3 linked regions of the Oreochromis niloticus genome follow. The protein of the gene in region 1 interacts with the protein of each later gene in a biochemical or structural test. Links are inferred from orthologs where the notes say so. Each region holds a gene or a part of one and is shown in the gene's direction. Other genes may lie near its edges. The genes, in order: msh4, msh5 and mlh3.

Region 1 (7,991 bases):
TGCTCCCCTCTCAACTGCAGCACAGCTGTCTTAACAGCACCCCCGCCCTCCCCCTGTTCCCCTGCAGGGGTGTGTTTGGGGGGGGCAGCATTGTGTTTCTATAAGCTAGTTGTCCCATTGGGCTTTGCTTCCCTGGCACGGTACCACCTCTTGCGCTCAGATCCAATGAACAATGAGTGCTGCAGATTATTAGCATTGTTGTGTCCCATCTTTCCAGATGAGGATAAAGAGATAGCTGAAAGATAACAAATACAGTGCTTGGTAAGCTGTTTGGTAAGCGAGGTCTGGCCTGCTCCCTCTTGGTGCACCGTAAAGTTCAGTCGGGCTCAGATTGCTATATAAAATGGAGAAGGGTGGGGGGGTCTGTGTGTGTGGATACACCTTTGCGGAATCAGAGGAGTCACTCTTTCATGCAGGCCTTCTTCTATTTTTAATCAGCCCAGTTTGATGTCTATTCTTGAGCCACTCCCTAATAGTTAGTGAGAAAATGAGTCTTCCTTTCTGGAGCAGTGTCTCTTGGCTCCAGGCAGCGTGATGATGGTGACACAAAGGATCCTCTGTGTCACTTGGCTGTGATGCAGCAGAGTTGAGCGCACCACACGGACTGCTGGAGTCAGACTCTCCTCCACCCAGCTGGTATTGGGGGGGGCGGGGGGGGGGGGGGTGCAGAGCAGAGATGCTGCACTGCTACCTCATGTTAAATTGTTTTACAAGAATGCTGATTATGGAATCCATTGCAGGTGTTCACTAGCCCAAGACAATGATCAAGTAATTAAACTTATTTTTAAAAAAACACATAAAAATCCCAGTATGCATTGGATGCTATGGACTTGTGTTCCAAATACAGGTTTTCCACACCATTAAGAGTTATTCTTACTTATAGCACCATCTGTTGGCAGAAAATGCCCCCATTCTGTCTTGATGGTTACCAGAATCCATAGTAATGTGCATGTGTGTCTGATATATATGATAACAGATTACCGAGACACTGCTGCTGCTTCACTGTGGGCTGTCCTCATTTACAGTGGGCCTTCCTATTCCCCTGTTGTGTGAGCCTAATTAGTCATCCACAGGAACAGCACAATTACACCGTTTTAATTATTTTTGGTTAACATTTAAGGAAAACACCAGGGATGGGGAAATATATTCTGAGTTACTTAAGTGGAAGACCCATGGATGGGGTGGGGGAGAAAGTGTTGACACAGAATAATGGCGCTCCCCTTTACCCCTCTAATCTCCTCAGTAACCCTTCTGGGTCCTGTCCCCACCACACTGGGGGACATGGACTTATTACCAGCTGTGAGTCAAATTAATTAGCCGTACGTCTCCCGGCCAAACCAAAGCAGACCTTAACCGCAAGTTAATTCTGACTGTAACAGTCCAGCTGCACAATGTGCAAGTGAGAGTGGCACAGGAGGGCCACGGGGAATGATTATTTTACATGATCTGCTGTAGTTATTTATAGTAACTGTAAATAAAAAATAAAAATGCAATTAATCTCACTTGCTCCTCTCTTCATAGGCATTCTCATCGACCAACATCTATAATCTGATTCAATCCCACCACACCTCTGCCTCTCTTGATCAAATGCTCATTTTAAACATTCACATGTACAGTTAGAAGAGACTGGTTAACTGGTTTGTTAGCTGGAACAGAAATGAATACACATACATTGTTCAATTTTTTTCATGCTTTCAGATTGCTTGATTTTGTGTTGACTCTATACACAAAGCACCTGCACCTGTAGTATTATTAGCCACTTGTCTGCTCTACTAATAACGCCAACTCTTAAATTCAGGGAAATTTATATACAGGGGGCTTTTCTGCTTATTAAAATAGGTAAGCGTTGCATTCATCCAGTGATCATGTTGGACCATTTCATTAATGTGTAATCAAACTTGGATCTATTGTAATATTTCTCTCATATATCAATTTGAGTATTTAGGGGGATCTCATCCTGTCAACTTCAGTATTAACATTTCACTTGGCCTGAGTGTTTGAGGCCAACCTGCTCATTACGCTACAGCTCTACTGTGTAAACAGACAGCAGCATGAAAGGCTGTGAGGGGCCCCTGCATGCCTGTGGGAGTATGGGTCGTACTTCATGGTTTTATGCTTGAAAAGGAGCCATAATCTTCCACCTAATCTGGGGCTTTGAGTGGAATTCCCCTCACATGGACGGCAAAACCTGGCATTGCAGATCCCTGTTGTCCTCCATTTTTAAAGATTGGGGACCCCACATAAAGATATAGATTGAAATTTTTAGTCATGCGTTTGATTTGTTACCCTAACCTCACTTCATATGAAAAGTTAACAAAACTGTCTTCACATCTTAATATTTAATTGTTGAGTGAGCAGCCTGGCTCTTTAAATAATCAGTGCACACAATTAAATCCTTTCCTAAGTTTCAGATTTTAAGCAACTACTTCTCACAAGTGTCTGAATTTACATAATTCACAAGAAGAAAGAAAATCACAAAGAAAACCACTCTAAACACCACTTATCGCTGTCATCAGGTGCTTATTTCTGCATGAGGTTGTCAATATTTTTATGTAAACATGTAATTGTACATATTATCTAATTATTTAGTTACCACTTGCTAAATATTCCAAGTTTAATGATGGGAATGGGAAATACAATGTGAAAATATGTCTGTGCTCAAGAGCAGAAGTCCAATAGGTTTCATGTTTGCAACTTTTGGCAGATGCCTAGGGCGTAAAGGCTTCACTTTCACATCTGCTTAACTGTATTTTGTATAAACAAGACGAACTGCAAAAACCTAGGGGGATGATGCCTCTTGCTCAAACAATGCACTTGTTTCTCAGATCTGTGCTTGCACACGTCTGCCATCTAGCTTCACAGAAACAGAACTACATGGACTGAAAGAGAATTCTACTGAGCAGGAAAAAAATAGTGTCTGTGTGTTGATTTAATCATGTGTGCTCCCGTCAAATAACACACACAGTAATTAACAGCATGCTTCCCTTTAAAAAGTTAAAAAATTTAATATCTTAAACAAGCTCAGTACACTGTTCCAAGTTTCTATGTCACAATCGGAGTCCGATAATCAGGCTTTTCTTCGAATGTGCAGAATGTGGATGTCTGGACTGCTAAATTCTGGGTCTTGTTTCTCTGAAGGAATCTCCTCACAGCAGAAGTTCTGTTGCAACAACTTAAAAAGAAAAGAGAACAGGTCAGATGATAGCTATGACAAATATCTCCACTTAGTTGTGGAAATAAAAACAAATTCTAACCTCAAAAAACTGCCTTTCCACTTCTGGGTTGACACCCTCAGTGCGCTGCTCATAGCAGCAAACAATGCAGGTCTCTGGTCCACAAAGCAGCTTCAAGCTCTCCACCAGTGGAACAATTGACTGTATGGAAATAAGCGATGACTCACAATGAGACATACAACACTTTTTCAGAATGATTGTAATGTTGCAATCTTGTAGGGGATCATAAAGGATTGAAAACTACAGGAAAGTACCTGCTCATAATAGATGCAATCTGCCATAAGGACATAATCTGGGGAAGGCAAGAATTCAGACACATCTTCACCCCTGTAATAATGGAAATAAAATATTAAGCATATGCTGAATGTCCTGCTGAAGTATTACTGCGACATTTATATTAGGAGCATAAGAAAAATAGGAAATGTAAGTACAAACCATTTCAGTACCTTGGCAGTTATGGATCCACTGCTGATAAGCGCTTCGTTTTCTTGGATGTTCACCTTCAACAGTGTCTGTAAATCTTCTAGGTCTGTTACTATTACCTGTGCTCTGCAGGAATTTAAAAATAATAATAATAATAATAAATCACCAATACTGACTCTTCCCAGATGATTACTAAAACATAGTAGTAGTGCAAGGAATGACGTTTAAATATTTTGATATTTAAACATAACACTAAGATCACATGTAAATAAATAACTTACCCTAGCGTTGCTGCCATAAGACCAACTACTCCCGTACCAGCTCCCAACTCTAGCACAGTCCTACCAGACCAAACGTTCACACCTGAAGACGGATCGTAAAACTGCTTTGTCTCTAAATACTTTGCGAGAACAATAGCTGCATCCCACACAACGCAGCCAACATCTCCCAAGAAGCACTGCTTAACTTTTAGGGCACAGCCGTCGTTTCTCTCTATTTCTCTGACAAAATATTCATTCTCGTCTGCCTTAGCCGCCATGTTGGCCAAAACAGAAACAAAAAAAGAACTTCCGGTCTGATATATTTTTCTAAATAAAAGACTTACCTCGCCAAACATTAGGACTGGTGCACAGAGTTGTGCTTGATGCTTTAAAAAAGTTATGTGTTTCTAATATTTAGATTTTTTTTTATTTTAAAAATACAATCATAAACAATGAAAAGTCTATGGATTCACAATAATATAAGATGAGACAAGAAATACTTATCTTTAAATTTTATTAATAACAATAATACATTAAAAATAAAATTTTAATAGCAAAAAATCAAACAGAATTTAAACAGAAGTTGCAAAAAATGTAAAAAATAATAAAATAAAAAAAAAAAAAATTTAATTAAAGACATGAACATGAACGATGATTGGAGGGTCCTTCCACCCTAGCATATTCTAAAATTATTTAAAATTATTTGAAGCGTACCAAGAACCATGGTTTCTTTTAGAGAACGAAGGCTTATACGGATTTCTTTTTTTTATTATTATTATTATTATTTTCTTTTGGCCTCATAATAATAATAATAATAAAAAATGTTTTGTGTCTTCCCGAGTTGAAGTGATTTTTTTTGTACATTTATTCGTTGTTATTATTTTTTTTAAATTCACAATAACTCTTATTAATGACCGAAAAAAGAAAATAATATAAAAAATAGATAAATAAATATTACTACGATTAACTTGTGTAGAGGCTGACGTAGGGAAGCCGTCAGGTGTTCGCGCGCCACTGCAATCAGTGTGGCGGCGGTAATTATGCTTGCTAGCTGAGAGAACTGGCAGCTGAGAGGCAACTTCATATTGTTTGTCGAAGTGTAGTAACTGAATATTACAGGTGTACATCTGAGTCTGTGTTTGTCAGTTGTTCTACCTCTGCATAAGTTTCAAATGTTTGCCAGCAGCACAGAGGAGGTAACTGACGGTTATGCCTCAGCAAGTGAACAGTCGTGGGGTATATTACCTAAGGACAAAAGTGGACAGGACCAAACCTTTTCTTGTGTCACATCAGCTTCATCAAAGCAAAGTTCAAATGAAGGCAGTACGAGCTCCCGCCACGGCCCATCATCTGGAACGGCCTCAGGTGATGTGCTAACATTAGCAACTTTTATTTTGGGGAGAGTGAGATTAGATACTAAAAAACGTGCTAACATTGACATTTCTGTAATGAAATGATCTTTATTTTTTTATTTTTTTTTCATTGATAGCAGTTGGGGCACCCGGCAAAATGTGGCTCTTGGCATGACACAGCAGTAATAATACTGTACTACACCTCTTTTCCTATGTTTCCTATTGCTATAGGTCAATTACCGAGCAGCTTTAGAATAGACAAGCCAGCTTCATTGCTTCTTTCATCTTGTACAGAGAGCTCATCTTTCCACAGCCGTGGAGGAACACCAAGACATAGAAGGACCCCAGGGTCTGCTGGGGCACCTGGTATACATCCTGCACAGACACGAGTTATTGATTACTCTGGTATTAATTAAGCCTTTTTAAAAATAAGGTATTATTATTAACAAAGATCTTTTTATGCAGGAACAAGTTACTCATCTGGATCCACAAACACTGGTGCTTCTGTGATTGTGGTAGTAGTTGAAGGACGCGGCTTAGCCAGAGGAGAGATTGGCATGGCTAGTCTCGATTTGAAATGCCCAGAGCTTGTACTCTCTCAGTTTGCAGATACAGGAACATATGCCAAGGTAAACCACCCATGTCCTACTGTCATTTGGCACTCAAAACAGACTGGGAGACATGGAATTTATATTTCAGTCATGTGTTATTCATCTGAAGGTCATAACCAAGATTCACATCTTGGTCCCAGTGGAAATACTGATGCCAGACACAGCCAGTGAGAAGGGGAAAGGAACAAAGCTGTTCAATCTCATCACTGAGAATTTTCCGGTACAAATGCAACAATAACACACAATTCTTTAAAACAAATTTCCACTTAAAGTAGAGAGTAGCCAACTTGTGCTTCAGTATTCACTGAGTTGCTAAGTGTGTGGTGCAAACTGAATTTTATTGGGTATTTTTTCTTCAGGGTGTACCTTTCACTCCAGTGCAAAGGAAGTATTTTAATGAGAAGAAAGGGCTGGAGTACATTCAGCAGCTGTGTGCCCCAGAATTCAGCACTGTTGTTATGGAAGTTCAAGCTAAGTATGCTATAGATAGATAGAGAGATACTGTAGCCTAATACTTTTGTCATTGCCTAATGTGATAACTTTTTTTTTTTTTTAGGTATTATTGCCTAGCAGCTGCAGCTGCTTTGCTGAAGTATTTAGAGTTCCTCCAGAACTCTGTCTACGTTGCCAAGTCCCTTAAAGTGAGCTTTAAAGGGAGTGAGCAGACAGCCATGATTGACTCAGCATCTGCCTCTAACTTGGAATTGGTGGTTAATAATAGAAACTACAGGTGAGATGGAAAGCGATGATAAGAATGACATCTTTTTATGTAGTTCCTCTGTCATGCAGTCTGACTGTGCCTTCTCTTTTTTCGTTCTAGGAGTGACCATACTCTTTTCGGGGTACTCAACCACACAAAAACACCTGGTGGTGCCAGAAGGTTGCGCTCCAACATTTTGGAGCCTCTAGTTGATGTGGAAACAATCAACACTCGCCTGGACACCATACAAGAGCTGCTGGAAGATGAGGAGCTTTTCTTTGGCTTAAAGAATGGTTGGAAACAGGCACAAAAAGTTTGAATCATTATAAATATTCTGCATACTGAAAATTGGATCATATCTGCATTGACTGTTTGTTCTTCTGGCCCTTTTAGCCATAAGTCACTTCCTTGACATTGACCAGCTGCTCTCAGTTCTCGTCCAAATCCCAAAGAAGGAAACAGTATGTGCAGTACTTTCAGTGCTTGTGACAATATTCTGTTTGTTTACTTCTGTGCATTTGTCACTTTGTCACTACTGTTACTTTTTTTTCTACAGTTTCAAGTTGCTGAAGCAAAGATTACACATATCATTCAGCTGAAATACACACTGGACCTGGTGCCGAGGTTAAGGGTCTGTGCTGCTAACATCCTCAAACAAAATCGCCCAGTAGCCATGGACAGAATAAGAAAACAATTAATTCATTAAAAGCTAAATGTGACTTAGTTATAATGCAAATACTGAGTCTTTTTAAAAGTGTTATACCATTTAAACAGATGCTGCTGAAGAACCGGAACACAGCTCTGCTCAAGGCATATAGTACAACACTTGAAGATAACAGGTTGTAAATTTTGTGCTTATGTACGATGAACTGAATTTGCTAGTTACAATCTCCTGTCTACAGACTCATTCCACTGTATACATTTATGTCTGCCTCAGGTTTGACATGATCCTGGAGCAGATCAAGACTGTGATCAATTATGACACAACTTACCTCAAAGATAGCTTTAAAATGCGCACCCAGAAGTGTTACGCTGTGCGCCCGAACATCAACAAGTTTCTCGACATTGCCCGGAAAGCTTACACTGAGATAGTGGACGACATTGCAGGTGTTAATGCCTAGTGTTTTCCAGATAACTTTGTCTTACGATGTTTAGGTAATCTGTTCTTACCTTTAGCCATGCTTCATGTCATCGTGCTGCACAGAGCTTGTGAACCAGCTGGGGGAAAAATACGGCTTGCCAATGCGTACTAGCTTCAGCACAGCTCGAGGTTTTTTCATCCAGCTGAAGCTTGAAGGACTAACCTTACCAGAAGGGAACCTCCCCTCAGAGTTCATCAAAGTAAGGTCCACTGAAGGCAGCCAGACTTTTAGCAAAAAATATAACTCAGCATTAGTTGTTAATAAAGGAAG
Region 2 (7,719 bases), on another chromosome or scaffold:
GTGATGGACTGTGCTGTTCCCGTTCCGGAGGTCGAGCCGAGAAGCATCACCAAAACACCGGAGCGGTTACGTTACCGAGCGGCGATAAGACGCAGGAGCCTCTTATAAGCTCAGATAGGGAACCAGGCGGAGGGTTCGTGAAGGCAGTCTGCTCATGAGCACCAGAGAAGGAGCCACACCAGCGGGTAAGGCTGATAGAAGTCCCTATCTACACAGTTTGCTTACGGTAGCTCGATGGAGACTTTGTCTTTTTTTTCTTTTTCTTTTAAAAAAATAAATAAATAAATACTGTATTCTTCTAGTTCACTTTGTTCTGCTCCACCTGAACAGGTGGTGTTAAATAAATACACGGGAGTAGGTTTGGCTTTATAGGGGGGGGGGGGGTATCATGAAGAGGTTTGAGGATCCTTCCCCCAAAAGTTTGTGCATCTAAACCCAATCTCCTCAATTCTGGTGAATTTTATTATAGAGCATTTGTATTATGTTTGGAATTTCAGCAATTTTTATGCAAAAAAAACCCTTTTTTAAAAAAAAAAATCACGTTTAATTGGCCACCTTTGTCTGTTACTCAACATTGTATTTGTTTCATTATTACTAAAAATATGCTTTAAGCTATTTAAATGTGTTTAAATACTATATTTACATATAAAAACTGTAACTGTCATAAATAATTATCAAATAATTTCCAACAAGAAATCCAAGCGTATAATGTTGAAATACAGCTTCCTAGTATCCCCTGCTACACCAATGTTCCAATTCCCTATACAAAGTTACCAGGAAAGTAGATTAAAACAGAGAAATTCATGATAGAAACACTAAATTTATCACAACAGCGATGTTATTGGTGTGCGTTGTGCAGGGTTATCTCTACGCTTCGAAGATAAATTCAATTCTTTTTTATTTATCACAGCTCAGATGTGATTTGGCAGGTTTTCTAACACATATATGCATCGCTGTTGTAGGATAAACTTAAGCAATCTTCTCAGCTGTGTAACTGAAACTCAGGATTAGTTAGCAAAAATATTTCTAAAAACCAAACAACACTATCCAGGGGGTCAGAACTTTGTTATTTTCTGGATTATATGTTCTCATATCAAACCACCTCCTCCTTTTATCCTGCTGCAAACTGAGAACACTGTGTGTCTGAAATAATTACGTTTACCACATATTTCATGGTTTTTAAGTTAAATAGACCCACCCTTGATGGAGGCATTTCTCACTGAGTAATGTTATGAGTTCTAAATATACGACACCTTTGCACTTAGACCTATACTCAAGGACCGTACGGTACTTAAGGACACATTTGAACTATTTGTATATTTTCATGCCAAACTGCTTTGGACTTGTACTCCTCTGTCCATCCAGCTTTATTTTCGCAGTTGACATTTTCAACAACAGAAAAATGTTCGCCTTTCTTGTGTCATCCTGTACTTGTCAAGTCTTTGATTCTGTTAGTGATTCAATTTTTTATCATATTTTATTGTGAGTTATTCATCTGCTTTATCTTACTCCTGTCTCATTGTCTTTCATTGTCAGTCCTTGTCTTTGGGTTTGATTTCAGTCCTTGTGGTAATATCTGTTAACCGTACCAGTGTGTTACCTGCCTGTTTTAGATGTCATTTTTGTTCGCTTGTGATGTTTATGTGGATTGACTTTTTGCTTTGCCTTGCCTTTTGGACTTTGTTTCATGGACTAAGGCTCATTATTTGTTTAATCCTGCCTGACTTCTGAGTCTGAATGAGGGTTTTTAACCTCCACACTGTGAATGCTCCCGACCAGCAAACTGCAAAACTTTTGCTTTTATAGAAGTGCTCATGCTTGGTGATGATCAATTAATTAAGTACATTTGATGAGCAGGACCTGGCTGCTACTTACACTCTTAATTTCTATGGAAGCATTAAGCATCCAATTAGTTTTTCAAACTTTCTTTCTCTAATGACTGCATATCTAAGGTTTAATATTAAGTCGCACTTTGTTTTTTTTGTTGTTCTCCATAGTTCACCTCAACACATAGGAGTGACCCTGCCATTTGCACTGATGGGTCTGAGTCTGTCACGTTGGTTTTACAGCAGGACAGCCAACAGGCCTCCCTTTTCGTCATCAGCGTTCCTCCCACTGGCTGTCCCAACCTCCTCTCGCCTTGCGGTTACGCTGAACTCCCCTCCAGTTTCCCCAGGAGACAGTCATTCACATTGGAGCACAGTCCACCGCTCTCTTCACTTCCAGCTGTCCCCCTGCAAACAGGAAGCGACCCGCTCACCCGCTGAGCTTAGCAGCGATGGCGTGAGGGCGGAGATAGGAGTGAAGAGTGGGCTTCATGTCTGGGAGGTGGTGTGGAGGCCTGAACACAGAGGGACTCATGCCGTTGTGGGCATTTCGAGGCAGGACTGTCCCCTGCAGTCTTCAGGGTACAATGTGCTGGTGGGGGCAGACTCACAGTCCTGGGGATGGGAGCTCAAAACCAATCAGCTCTGGCATGGTGGACAAACTCTGAAGCTTTACCCAGAAAATGGGAGTAGGAGGAGGAGTCACTCTGAGGTGGCAGGTGATTCAAAGTCACAGTCCTCGTCTTCATCAAACGCAAAGATGGCACAAACACCTCTCCTCATTCCTGAGCGTGTCCTGCTGGTTCTGGATGCCGATGCCGGGACTCTGGGGTTTGTTGTCAATGGCAGCTTCCTTGGCGTAGCTTTTAAGGACCTCCCTCGAGATGTGGAGCTGTTCCCAGCAGTGAGCAGTGTGAGAGGAGGAGCCTGCATTCGACTGCGCTACCTGAATGGTTCTACACGTGAGTGCCTCATTTATTTATTTGTCTTTGTACGAAGAAATATAAAGATAAAACACAGCCTTATACTAAACTATGTTGTTTCTGGCTTGTTCTCAGGAGATCCTCCAACCCTCATGGCTTTATGCGTACTGTCGATTCGTCAGAATTTAGGACAGAAGAGGTTAAAACATACGGACAATTTGCCTCTACCCCCTTTTCTCCAGCGCTGTCTGGCTCCCAGTCATTAATCTTCCATGCAAACGGACAAGATGGATACTTTTGTCAGTTACTGCAGTTTACCTAGGATCCATGCCCTTTTCTATGAAATACTGATGTAAATTCTGTAAATCTTACATTATATGCACAAGTATAATTATTTTTATCTTATTTACTACAAATGTGTATGTTTATAGATGTTTTGTAATATTTTTTAAAAGAAATTTGGGGGATTTAGGGGCAGTTCTGTTTGGTACAGGTCTGGTTTCTTCTTTTGTGCATCTAATAAATGAGCTGTTACAAGTGATTTTTATACTTTTCCTGTCCTTTCACAAACCACAAGGATGGCTTAGCAGAGGTATAGAGGGTTTTGACAATACAGCTTACATCCAATAAGGATTATAAAATTATTTGTATGAAAATACTGATGTAATGTTTTCAACCAGCATAAGAAGCCAAGTACAGTGGCAGGATAGATATATATTTACATTTGTCTCATATACAGGTGTACTCATATTATTCCTGCATACTGGTACATGCCCATGCTTCCAAACATTTGTTTGTAGTTGTACTTTAGGTTATATTGTTACATTAGCAATAGTACATCCTCTTTAATTCTAAGGCTTTATCAATCAGGACATACCAGGTTCTAATATATTTTAAATACAACTTTAAAAACAACAGCACATAATATTTTATATCACGTCATTACGTAACAAAAACTAGACCACAATGTAGAAGCAGTGTGTGAAAAACTAAGCACAGCCCACGATTCCATTGCTTATAAAACCACCTTTAGCAGCAATAACTTGAAGTAGCGGTTTTCTATATTACTTCATCAGTCTCTCGCATCATTCTGGATGAATTTGGGAACTTACAGCATTGCATCACAGCTCAAGCTCCCCTAAGGTCCCAGCACAGCATCTGAATCAGGTTTTTTGATCTGATCTTGGGGTTAATTTCCTGGGACATCAAGTCCTGTGACGATTGGCAACTATTTTCAGTGTTTTCCATTTGTGAATAATCTTCCTCACTGTAGAATAATGGAGTTTAGATTGTTTGGAAATTACCTTATAACCCGCCCCACAGTTACTTCTTTAAGATGATTGCTGATGTTTTTCCTCCTTGACATTGTGTTAACACACACTGTAATGATCCAGGCCAAGAAACTGCCAAAAAAATTAAGCGCTCTCACACTTACTGATGATCAGTTAATCAGTCACCTGGCTGCTTTGTAATTATTTTTTCACACACTTCTTTATTTTGGCTTCGTTTTTGTTAAATAAATAATCAAACAGTGTAATATGTTGTGTTGTTGCTCACCTGCTAAGAACCAGATGCTCACTCTGCAGGTGGCAGACAAACAACTAGAAGTTTGCTAATTCTGCTGATCGATGCTTGAATGCAGGACATTTTTAAATCCTTAGTATCATACAGACACCTCCTCTCCATCGACGTAATACACAAGAATGTCGTGTTTGGAGTCCTACCAGGAGTGTATGCAGTAATACCATCAGCTGTACACTCCAACCATCAACCACCACACACCTATGCTACAGAGAGACAGATAGCTAGACACACATCTAGCATAACAAGTAGATGAGCTTTGATTATAATTCGAGGGATAAAACAAAATAAATAAATGTGAACCGCCCTAAACTGTACTTTTAACAAAGGGCTAAATGAAAAAAACCAAACAACGTTTCATAGGTTGAAAGAGCTTTCTGAACTGATTAATTGTACAGAACTAATAGCGAGAGAGAGAGAGAAATGTGGTTGTTATGGCAACCGGGAAGGCGCCTTTGAGCACTTGAAGGTGAGTTTGTGGAAAACAAGCACTGTTAAAGCTTGTTAAAGTTATTTTATCAGCCTCATTTCTGTTATAAGCTGGACTCTGCAAGTTATATAAAATATTTATTGACGTGGCATTTATTGAAGTGGCAGTACTCTAAAACAGAAATTTAATTATATAGCCGGTTTCTAAATAAGAATATAAGTAAGTTATAGTTAACTTAAACGAGCTAGCTTACATCGTTAGCCCAATAAGCTAACTGGAGCTACAATAATTTCAATTATTATCATAATAATGTCTGTAATATCAATTCCATATTTTGTTTTTATCTTTAAAGGACCCCATAGCGAGTTTCCAAAAATAATTTTTGTCTGACTTGCAGTTTAGCTGTTTTAAGAAGCCATGGTGTTCTTTAAGCATCAGTAGTAGTAAGCTATTTTCAGTGAAAAAGCTCTAAAAACCCACATTATACTCCCTGCCCAGCACTAAAGTGCAAGGCAGACAGCCTTGGACAGCCTGTTAATGAGAGTGGCTCATTTAGCAGTTAAATGGCTCCATATTTCCCTAAGGAGGCAGAAAAGACAGAGGAGAAGAAGAAAAAACATAAAACATAATGAATATTGGATTTATCGGGTGACTCCAAATTACTTTAATCTGAGTTGTCCTTGTAGAATTAATTATTCATGGCAGCAGTTCTGGATAACCTCAGAGAAGGAGGTGTGGTTTTTGGACCTTCTGGCATTAGTTTTGATGAAGAAGATGAGGAGGACTCTCCTGCAGTAAGCGCTGATTTTCACATTCACCAGCAGCACTCATTTAATGTTATATGGGAGTTATATGAGAGTTTGAGGGCAGTCAAACTTACATGTTTGCATGTCTGTTTTCCAGGTTTTACTGAGTGTTTTGGTCCAGCATGGGCAGGTGGGTCTCTGCTTCTATGACAGTCAGGACTCATCTTTACACTACATGCCGGACACGCCTGACAACCAAGAGCTCCACCTACTGGTCAGAGGTAAGCAATGCACCTGTATGAGGCAGGTATTGTAGAATGGATACACTTATCTCCACACAATAGTAAATTGTAAAACCCTCAGGGAGACTTACAGTATGTGTTAAAACAACACTTGTGTTGCCATAAAATCTCTTTTTTTCTTTGTTTTGCAGTCATTCAGGAGGTTAGTCCCCATGTAATTATCACCAGTGCAAAGCAGGAGCGCTCCATGACTCGCTTTTTGCAACAGCTAGGTGAGCTTTGGGAGATGATACTTATCTTACCATGAAAGAGGGAAAACAGAAAGACCTTTTAGACAGTTTCCTTTAGACGTGGTGTAGTACATGTAGTCTGGGTCAGAGGAATGAGGTTGAAGTATGTCTGACACTGAAACCAGCCTGTGTGGTAAGTCAGTGGTGCAGTTTTTAAACATCCTGTTCCCGGGGTGGCTGTGGCTCTACTAATTGGAAGGTCGTGGTTTGATCCCTGGCTCCTTAAGTATGCATGTCGAAGTATCCTTGGGCAAGACACCGAACCCATTACAATGTGAGTGTTGTGAGGCTTGCACTAAGAAAATACTTTGAGTGCTCAAATAAAGTAAAAAAGTGCTATATAAGTGCCAGCCATAACCAAAGTACCCCAAATGGCAAGCCAAACTTTCAAAGCACACTTGTATTCATATCTGTGGTAAACAGCCTCCATGTCATCTTTTGAATATTCTGTAAGAGGAAGGTATTTTTAATAACATATTTTTACAGTCACAACCTAGTACAACAGCTATTTTACATTCTTCTGTGGTTTACGCCACAGAAGAATGGATCCCCATCCCCAACAAATGTTATCCTGCTCTCTGTTAGTCAGACTCTTTGAAGTCTGCTAATGTAGTCGCACTGATGAAATTGCTTCTCAAAAAGAGGTCATCATGGTGAACAGAACAAAACCCAAAAATGTTTTCAGCAACCCAGATTTTCATTACTTCTTATTCCCGATAAACAAAAAGTATTCATCTATTTTCTGCTTGCAAAAATATAAACAAAACCAAGTGATTGGATTGATTCAGATCTAACAGCAAAAGCTGTCTAAAGTGAACCTTTTGATTAAATGACCTGAGTCAAATTAGTAGCCCCACTGCTCACCCTAGTGGTGAGTTTATCAAATAAATCTGCAATATGGCTTTTAGAATAGAAAATGTAAGTTTAATTCATTACCTTTACAGTTCTAATAATAAAGTCTGGTTGACATAAAATTCCCAGTCACAACATTTTTGAACTACTGATTAGTGTAATGTTTTATGTAGCCCTTACTGTGTTCACTAAAGTGACAACATTTTTTCTCTGTTGCTTCTCAGGTTCAAACCCACACTACAGACCAGAGGTGGTCACGTATCCATATGTTGACTTTGGTAAACACATTCTTGTAATACTCTCTTCCGCAATCATTTAGAAGAAATCTAGCATGAAATTGCACAGTTTTCCAGCTTCATTTTGTATCAATGTTGAAGGTCTGGAGGTCAGTAAGCAAAGGTTGCTCTCTGCCCATCTGCCTTTCCTCCCCGCCTGCATTTCCGAGAGAGACAAACTGTCCTACCTCTCCTCCTGTATCTCCTTTGACTCGTCCCTGATGGTGAGCCAGCTGTCTACATACAACATTATCCTATCCATCAGTCATGGTTCTGCAGGAGATGATCATTTTCGTGTGTGTGTGTGTGTGTACATCTGTGGGATAGCTGAGGGCAGTGGGTGCCCTGCTGAAATGTCTGGACAGGAGGAGAGTGGGAGTGGAGTTGGAAGACAGCAGTGTTGGAGTACCCATCCTGCAGTTTCACGCCTACACACTGTGAGACTTGCATAAATGTAGCACTCACACACACGCACACACAGAGAACTGTGATTACACATTATAATGAGAACCCTGAAACCATTTTTTCAGCGAAGTGCGAAATTTCATTGGCCT
Region 3 (7,562 bases), about 600 kb from region 1:
ACAAACTTTCTGTTGCAGATTTTGCAAGGAAAAAGCTGGAGGCTGACTTCTGTGCTCTCCTTGAGCACGAGCTCTCCCCGGTGTGGTCCACTCCATTGTGAAGGTCTAGATGGAAGAGTTGAATCCCAGAGCTGATTTCCTCCTGCCCCTCTGTGGTTTCCTGTATAAGGAGTTTTCTGCAGACTCTCCTGAGGCACATCACTGTACTTTATTTTTTCTATTTCTCCACCAGTACCATAATCTGTCCCACCTCCTCGTTTTCCTCTGGTATGCTCTTTCACATTATGCCATCTTGATTTGTTCAGTTCTCCATTCACTTCTTGTTTGCTAGATATGACCTTATAAGTGCCTTTATTTCCTTTTCTGTTAGGCTGAATAGTTTCTGAATCGTCCTGGTGTTCTTCCTTCGTAGTCCTCATTCTGTCCTCAGTCCTCTGATCTTGTTTGTGCCTAACTTGCTTAAAATCATCATACCTTCTATCCTCCATCACTTTATCTCTGCCTTGAGCTAGCTCTCTAAACTGGAGCTCAGACATTCTGGTATTTGTTTGAGTTTTTTGCACCTGAGCTCGTCCTCTGCTGTGTCCCTCCTCCCTACTTGTTTTCTCATTACCTCCAGCATAGTCAGCGCTGGCCCTCTGGAGCTTTTGTCTTATTTTTAATTCAACTTTCAAGAGCTTCTCCTGCAGCATGAGCTGTTTTGCATGGATTGCTTTGGTCAACTGCAGCTCTTCACTGGGCAGTCTGTCTGACAGTGAGGCTACGGTGGTCTCTGTGATGCCATGTGAATGATGCTCCTGGGGTAACAAAGGGGCTACTGGTTGAGTAGAAACTGTGATGTTTTCAAAATCATCCAAATCTAGTGAAACTTGTGGCCTGCTAGGTCTTCTATGGCTCACAGGCTTGTTTGGGAATGGATGATTTACTGCATCTGCTTTCCTATTAGGCACGCTACGTCTTTCCCCTGCAAAGTTGTGGTGCCCCTGAGGAGTGTCTCTTCTTCTATGTGTGTTCATGACTTCATCTGTTGTTACAGATCATAAGCTGTTGTTCCACAGATTCAAAGATACCTGAATCCACCATATGGGGTCCTTTTATTGTATAATTTCTGTGCAAAAAGCAAGCAGAAAAGGGAAAGGGTAAAGCTTGCACAATATCATAACCCCAGTTCTAAAAAAGTTGATGTATAAAAGCTAATTTAAAAACAGGATGTAGTAAATATCTGCAAATCTCATTAACCCACATTTTATTCACAACAGATCATAGAAAGCATATGACATGTTTGAACTGAGATAATTTTATCAAACAGCAGTTTTACTGTTTCATAAAAAAATATGAAACAGTAAAAAAATAACAAAAAGTCGAAAAAGTAAGTGGTACCAAAAAGAAATTATTGAAAAACATTTTTTAGTTCATTAGATTTATCTGCAAAAGCTCAGTAACACCACTGGGTATAAAAAGATTTTAGAGAGACAGACTTTCTCAGAAGTAGTGGTGGGCAGATGTTCACCAATCTGCAAAGAATTTGTGTCTGCAATTGAAAACGCTGAATATCACATCATATACAGTACATAATATCATCAAAAGATGCAGAGAATCTGGAGAAAATCTGGAGAAAAAAATAGAGTGACCATTACGCTTGTTATCAGTTCCAAATCTTAAAGGCCTTCAGCTCTGATGGTATGGGGGTGCATTTATGCCTATGCAATTGGCAGCTTGCACATTTGAAAATGCTCCATGCTCAACGCTGAAAGGTACATACAAGCTTTATAGCAATGTATGCTTCTCCAGATGATTCTTTTGGAGAGAAGGCCTTGCATATTTTCAAAAGATGATGCTCAACCATATACTGCATCTATTACAGAAGCACTGCATCCACGAGCTGCCAAACTGGTCTGCCTGCAGCTTGGACCTTTCACCAAATGAAAATATTTAGCACATCATGAAATGAAAAATATGACAAATGAGACCAGGACAGCTAAGCACCTTGAATCTTAAACAAGTGAAAAATGGGATGACGGCCTGCCTCTCCCAAAACTTCAGCAGCTCTAAAGAAATGTTTCGGCCATCACCTCTATTAAATTTTTCTTTTAGTCTAGGACTAGGTTTAATCCATGCGTGTGAAACAAGCTATAAATGCAGAAAAAAAAAAACCTCAAGCACAAAGGTAACGTACTGCTTTAAAAATATCTGTGCTACAGTTCAATTTATCAACAGATATTTAGGCTTAATTTGGCGTATGGTGAGATGGTCAAATGCTTCACAAAGAAGCAAGCATGTTCATTTATTTATTTTTATTAACGTTTTTTATAATGGCTTAAAATAGTTTTTGTTAACTTTTTAATAACAGAGACCATAAATGTGCGGGCGGCTAATAATTAAAAAAAAAATACCGATATGTTTATGTCTTTGTCTCCAATAACATTTGTTAGATAAATAATTGAATCCAGTTTCAGAAAATTCTCATAAATATAATCTGCTATCTACTTACCAGCATACCAATGTATATTTTCCTAAAAATCCTGTCCTTCCAGTGTTTACATTTGTTGCCTAGATACAACGCTTCTCGGTTGTTTTCTGATTGGTCCGGTAAACAAACACCACTTCCTGTAATCCTCTGTTCCAGCCCAGTAGGTGGCGATAATGCAATTAGGAACTCAAAGAAGGAGACGAAGAAGAAGTGGCGTGTCGTATGTTTTGAATTTGCTGTAATTCGGAACTGGGTCGGCGTTTCACGGCTTCTGGATAAAATTCAGGTAAATTAAATGGCAGCGGGTTTTTGCGCAGTAAAGTAGCAGTAATACGAAGCTAGGTGTGCTATGTATTATTTATGTTGGCATAGCTTCAGTCACCTGTGATCACAAATCACCTTTAAGCATTAAAGGACTGCCTAAATTTCTTCTTTTTTTTTAAGATCCATTATGTCCGATGAAGACCTAATTTCAGTGGATTATGAGATTTTTGGCAGAGTGCAAGGTGTATTTTTTCGGAAATACACGCAGGTAGGTTTGACATTGTCCCATGATTGCGTTTTTTTAGGGGTGGTCTCATTGATGCTGAATATTACAACTACCATTTTAAATATTTCTAGTCGATATTTATCCAATAGTGCCATGTTCTTACTATTATGACATCTCTTTTGCCCTCCACGACCTCCATAATAATAATGATAACGATAATAATAATCCCTTTTGGGTTTTTTTTTTTTTTCTTTCAGGCAGAAGGGAAGAAACTTGGCCTTGTTGGCTGGGTCCAAAACACACCAGCAGGAACAGTGCAAGGGCAGCTACAAGGCCCACGCAAAAAGGTGAAGGAAATGCAAGAATGGCTGAGATCCACTGGGAGCCCCAAGTCACACATAACCAAGGCAGAGTTCAAGAATGAGAAAGAAGTTGACAGCCTAGAACATTCATCTTTCAACGTAGTAAAATAACTGTGCCTTTAATATTAACTTATGCAGATGTTTTATTTATTTAGTCTTTTTTGTTTTTACTGGTTGGAATTTAACATTTAAACTGAATGGGAGGAAGAGGTGTACTGCATATGTTTGATCTCCTAAATGTTCACAGAATATGTAACAACAATAATAAATGGGAACTTCCTTCATCAGGACTCACATTGTCTGATTTTATTGCAATAACAGCAGTAAAGGAATATTTAACTCAGTCAGCTTTAACATGCCTGGTTGTGAAGGACCTATGCTCTGCATTTAAAGTGGTTAGTGGAGGTGGCTACATTGTTCAAAATTTTTATTTATTTTTTTAGAAATCTTTAACAAAATTATATTTGTTCTCATGGTCATGCAAACAGGCACATGTGTGTGCTTGCCTATTTTCAAAAGAAAGCTGTAATAACACCTTTTCAGGGTTCATCAAAAGCTTTTAAAGACTATTTACGCATAAGGTGACATAACTATTTTGCTAAATTATCAAGATACTGATACAAGCTCAGTTATTCCAAGGACAAACACCCTGATATTGTTCGGTCTTCTGGTTTAAGATAACAGTTAAACGCCACACATACCAATAAAGTGGTAGGTCAGCAAATATTTTGACTTCATGTTGGTATAAAAAACACAGGTGTATCTGATGTGTTTGTGCAGACTTACTGGCACACCTGTACACATACTGGCTATTTAAAGTTATTAATAAAACATGTTTTTCCACTGTAACTTGATGTATTGAGACATGTTAGGATGATGTTGCAGGCCTGACCACTCTTGCTTATGAGTTTTATCCATATCGAGGCATACAGTGGGCAAGCTAACTGAGGGAGATGTGACTGAAATTGTTTTGTTGACTTCTTAACTGCAGAAAGGAAAACTGACTGGGTGTATAAGCACATTGAACAGCACACTCCGTACAGGAGGTGGCGGTATGCAGTAAAAGCAGGTCTTCCATAGGCTAACTTACGAAAGAAGATGTCTGGTGAACATGGCACATTCAAGTCAACGCGGAGATCGAAACTTTCCAGTAAAGCTCCGAATTCCCAGATACAAAGACGCAAGTGTAAACAATCGAAAGGGGTGACTATGACAAACTGTAGACATTAATATTAGCATCGTATATAGCTGAAGTCATTTTAACGAATTGATGAAACGATGGAAAAAAGGAAACTGATTACGTACCGATGGAAGTTTCCGAGTCGACGCGAACGCAGCAGTAAATTCAACCACACCAGAAGATGGCAGTATTATAATGTTAGCCAGTTTTAAGCGGTTACAGGCCTGTGTTTTTGTTTCACGTTGACTGTACACAACAGCTGAGGTATTTGAGGGCATGGTTTTATTATGCTAAATATTTTTATCATATTTAATGAAATATGAAAGAGGGTTTTACTTCAAAATGTATCGCTGTCAAAAAGTCTCCTTTGGAATTAGCTAGCATTAACTACTTAGCAACGATTAACTAACTAATTACTTTGCGGTCGCCGGTACAGGTGATAGACCAAAGATACAAAGAGAACTGAATTTAATGCCCATTATGATTAAGTGTTTACCCAAAGAGGTTCAGGGGAAGCTTCGCTCCGGTGTCGCTATCCCCTCGCTTCAGCAGTGTGTGGAGGAGCTGATTTTAAACAGCATCGATGCCGGGGCGACCTGTGTGGGAGTCCGAATGGACATGGAGGCATTTAAAATTCAGGTGATCGATAACGGTGCTGGGATGAGCGCCGAGGACATGGACTGTGTTGGGAATAGATACCACACAAGTAAATGCACTTCTGTGGCAGACCTGGACAACCTCAGGTGGTATGGTTTCAGAGGGGAAGCCTTGGCGAGTTTAGTTTCTTTAGCCACACTTGTTGAAATCTCCTCCCGGACCAGATCATCTGTAAAAACACACGTTAAAATATTCAAGGAGGGGAAGGGCTTGGAGGTCTTTGAAGCAGAGGCTGCTCGACCCTCTGCGGGGACAACTGTCATCATTTGTAACTTCTTCCACAACATGCCTGTCCGAAGGAAGAGGGTTGATGCCGTCCTGGAGGGTGAGAGGATCAGGCACAGAGTGGGAGCTATTTCCCTGATGCACCCCTCTGTTTCCTTCACCCTGAAGAATGACTGCACAGGAGCCATGATGGTGCAGCTCCCGAAAGCAAGAAACACTTATCACAGGTTTGTTCAGATACACAATCTCGGGCAAGCAGAGAAGCTGGGAGAAATGAACCACACATACAAACAGTTTGAAGTGATGGGTTACATTGGCAGAGAGGGGCACTACAACAACAGCTTACAGTTCTTGTATGTGAATGAAAGACTGCTGTTGAAAACACATATTCACAAGCTGCTGAACGTTCTCCTGCGCCGACTGACCAGTTCCAACCAGAAGAATGACAGTCCAGATTGGCAGTCTGTCTTCAGAAGTCCAAAGCACAAGCGAAGCCAAGATCTGTATGGAGTGTATATCATCAATATTAAATGCTCTTACTCGGAGTATGATATTTCCCTCGAGCCTGCCAAAACTCTAATAGAGTTTAAAGACTGGGATGGCATTTTGCTCTGTGTTGAAGAAGCAGTGAAAGCTTTCCTGAGCAGGGAGAACTTGGTGGCTGTCATTACTCAAGATGACTTGGACTATGCATCTCCAAGAGTGTTTGGAACTGACAAAACAGAACCAGAAGAGAATGGTGACAAAGGTGGCCAAACAGCTATCAGTATTTCTACAATGGACTGTAGTGTTGGCACGAGACTGGCATCTGAATCTGTTCATCGTAATCACACAGGTGACAGTGTTTCTAAAGATGGTGTTTGCCTGGAGGCTAGATTGGATAAAAGTGAACAACCAGGCCAGAAAAAGATAAGTACAAATGAGTTCCAAAATGTACACAGTGAAAAAGGTTTAAACAATGAATGTAGCAATGAGCTGATGTCTGATCTGGCTACAGTGGAACCTTTACCTTATAAAATTAATAAAGAAGTGGAACCCGCATATAGTGAAGCTGGGGAAGGTTCTAATATTTTGCATATTTCAAGAGAGCTACTTTTAAAAGAAGGAGATGACAGCCTCATTCAACAAGCCCAGCCTGCTTTAAAGTACACTGAGAGAATAGTACCTGACTGTCAGGACACAAGTTGCCATGCACAGACTTTAGTAAGTAAGAGAAAGATCAGATTGTGCGATCAATACGTTCAAGAGAGTCTGCAGACTCAGGACCTTTTGCAAAACAATAGGCCAGTATTTCAGGAGGAAAGTTTAACAGCAAAATCTGAAGAAAAAGCTTCTGTTGCAAAACGCAAAATCTCATTAGACACAAGCAGATCTTCTCAGAAACAATGCAGAGACTCTTCCTCTGTTGTCCCCTCAAAGATTTCCAAGATAATTTCATGCCATAAATTGTCTGGATCTCTTGACAAGTTTCGACGAACATGTGTTAAATCTGGTGATCTCGAATCACAGTTACCCAAGGCTCATTTGAAGACCGACACTCCTCAGACAGACCACGTTTTTTTGAATGCATCAATTTACCAGGGAGCTCAACAAGAAAATAAGATGCAGGACAAAGATGACGCACAGAACAGCCTCCAAAGCCCGCCAACTCTCTCTGTTTTCACTAAGATAAAACCAGAATCAGCACAGAACCAAGGTAAAAAATCTTTGGCAGCTAAACTCCGTCATTTGAAACAACATGGGACAGATGATTCAGAGGTGTCATTGGATTTTTCCAGAAACGTCTCAAAGGATACTATCTGTGTCAGTACTGGAATTGACAGTAACCAAGATAGCAATGAGATTCCCTGTGACCCTGAGTTCAATATGAGGCCAGCCTTAGGATGCATTTTAAACCCTGAACTTGCTATGAATGAAGAGGATGCCACATCGAGCGACTGGCTCCAACACTACGACGCATCTGTCGGAAAGACGGTTTATGTGAACAGAGTGACCGGGCTCAGCAGATATGAGGACCCAGCTATGGAGGAAACTCAAGTGCGCTGCACGTCTGATGTCACCAATATAGCAGTTAGTGTCATTTCTGAAATGGGTAAGTAAGCACACAAAATTGCAGATATGCACATTAATACAGATAATTTGTTTTCTGTTTTAATGCATGCCGTCATGTCCATGTAG

The links.
Region 2: the proteins of msh4 (region 1) and msh5 form a complex in vitro, tested with the Homo sapiens proteins (2 studies listed by BioGRID). The link is inferred for Oreochromis niloticus from reciprocal best matches to the Homo sapiens genes MSH4 and MSH5.
Region 3: the proteins of msh4 (region 1) and mlh3 form a complex in vitro, tested with the Homo sapiens proteins (2 studies listed by BioGRID). The link is inferred for Oreochromis niloticus from reciprocal best matches to the Homo sapiens genes MSH4 and MLH3.

Annotation. Positions count from the first base shown.
Region 1 is NC_031983.2:11,113,941-11,121,931, reverse strand, and holds the start of msh4 (mutS protein homolog 4), read left to right. Parts: upstream 1-4,888; 5' UTR 4,889-5,088; coding exon 5,089-5,281; intron 5,282-5,499; coding exon 5,500-5,634; intron 5,635-5,733; coding exon 5,734-5,897; intron 5,898-5,988; coding exon 5,989-6,099; intron 6,100-6,238; coding exon 6,239-6,354; intron 6,355-6,435; coding exon 6,436-6,609; intron 6,610-6,699; coding exon 6,700-6,872; intron 6,873-6,972; coding exon 6,973-7,040; intron 7,041-7,135; coding exon 7,136-7,210; intron 7,211-7,353; coding exon 7,354-7,418; intron 7,419-7,516; coding exon 7,517-7,686; intron 7,687-7,783; coding exon 7,784-7,920; intron 7,921-7,991. Other genes in the region: vcpkmt (protein N-lysine methyltransferase METTL21D), read right to left, coding at 3,068-3,172, 3,255-3,374, 3,488-3,560, 3,669-3,782, 3,938-4,194. UniProt on the Homo sapiens protein: Involved in meiotic recombination. Required for reciprocal recombination and proper segregation of homologous chromosomes at meiosis.
Region 2 is NC_031976.2:20,190,371-20,198,089, reverse strand, and holds the start of msh5 (mutS protein homolog 5), read left to right. Parts: upstream 1-4,686; 5' UTR 4,687-4,799; intron 4,800-4,909; exon of another isoform or gene 4,910-5,446; 5' UTR 5,447-5,458; coding exon 5,459-5,554; intron 5,555-5,663; coding exon 5,664-5,787; intron 5,788-5,939; coding exon 5,940-6,020; intron 6,021-7,114; coding exon 7,115-7,168; intron 7,169-7,267; coding exon 7,268-7,389; intron 7,390-7,492; coding exon 7,493-7,602; intron 7,603-7,719. Other genes in the region: SPRY domain-containing SOCS box protein 1, read left to right, coding at 2,038-2,788, 2,885-3,015.
Region 3 is NC_031983.2:10,517,794-10,525,355, reverse strand, and holds the start of mlh3 (DNA mismatch repair protein Mlh3), read left to right. Parts: upstream 1-4,484; 5' UTR 4,485-4,973; coding exon 4,974-7,476; intron 7,477-7,562. Other genes in the region: zinc finger C2HC domain-containing protein 1C, read right to left, coding at 1-1,016; acyp1 (acylphosphatase-1), read left to right, coding at 2,922-3,002, 3,218-3,433. UniProt on the Homo sapiens protein: Probably involved in the repair of mismatches in DNA.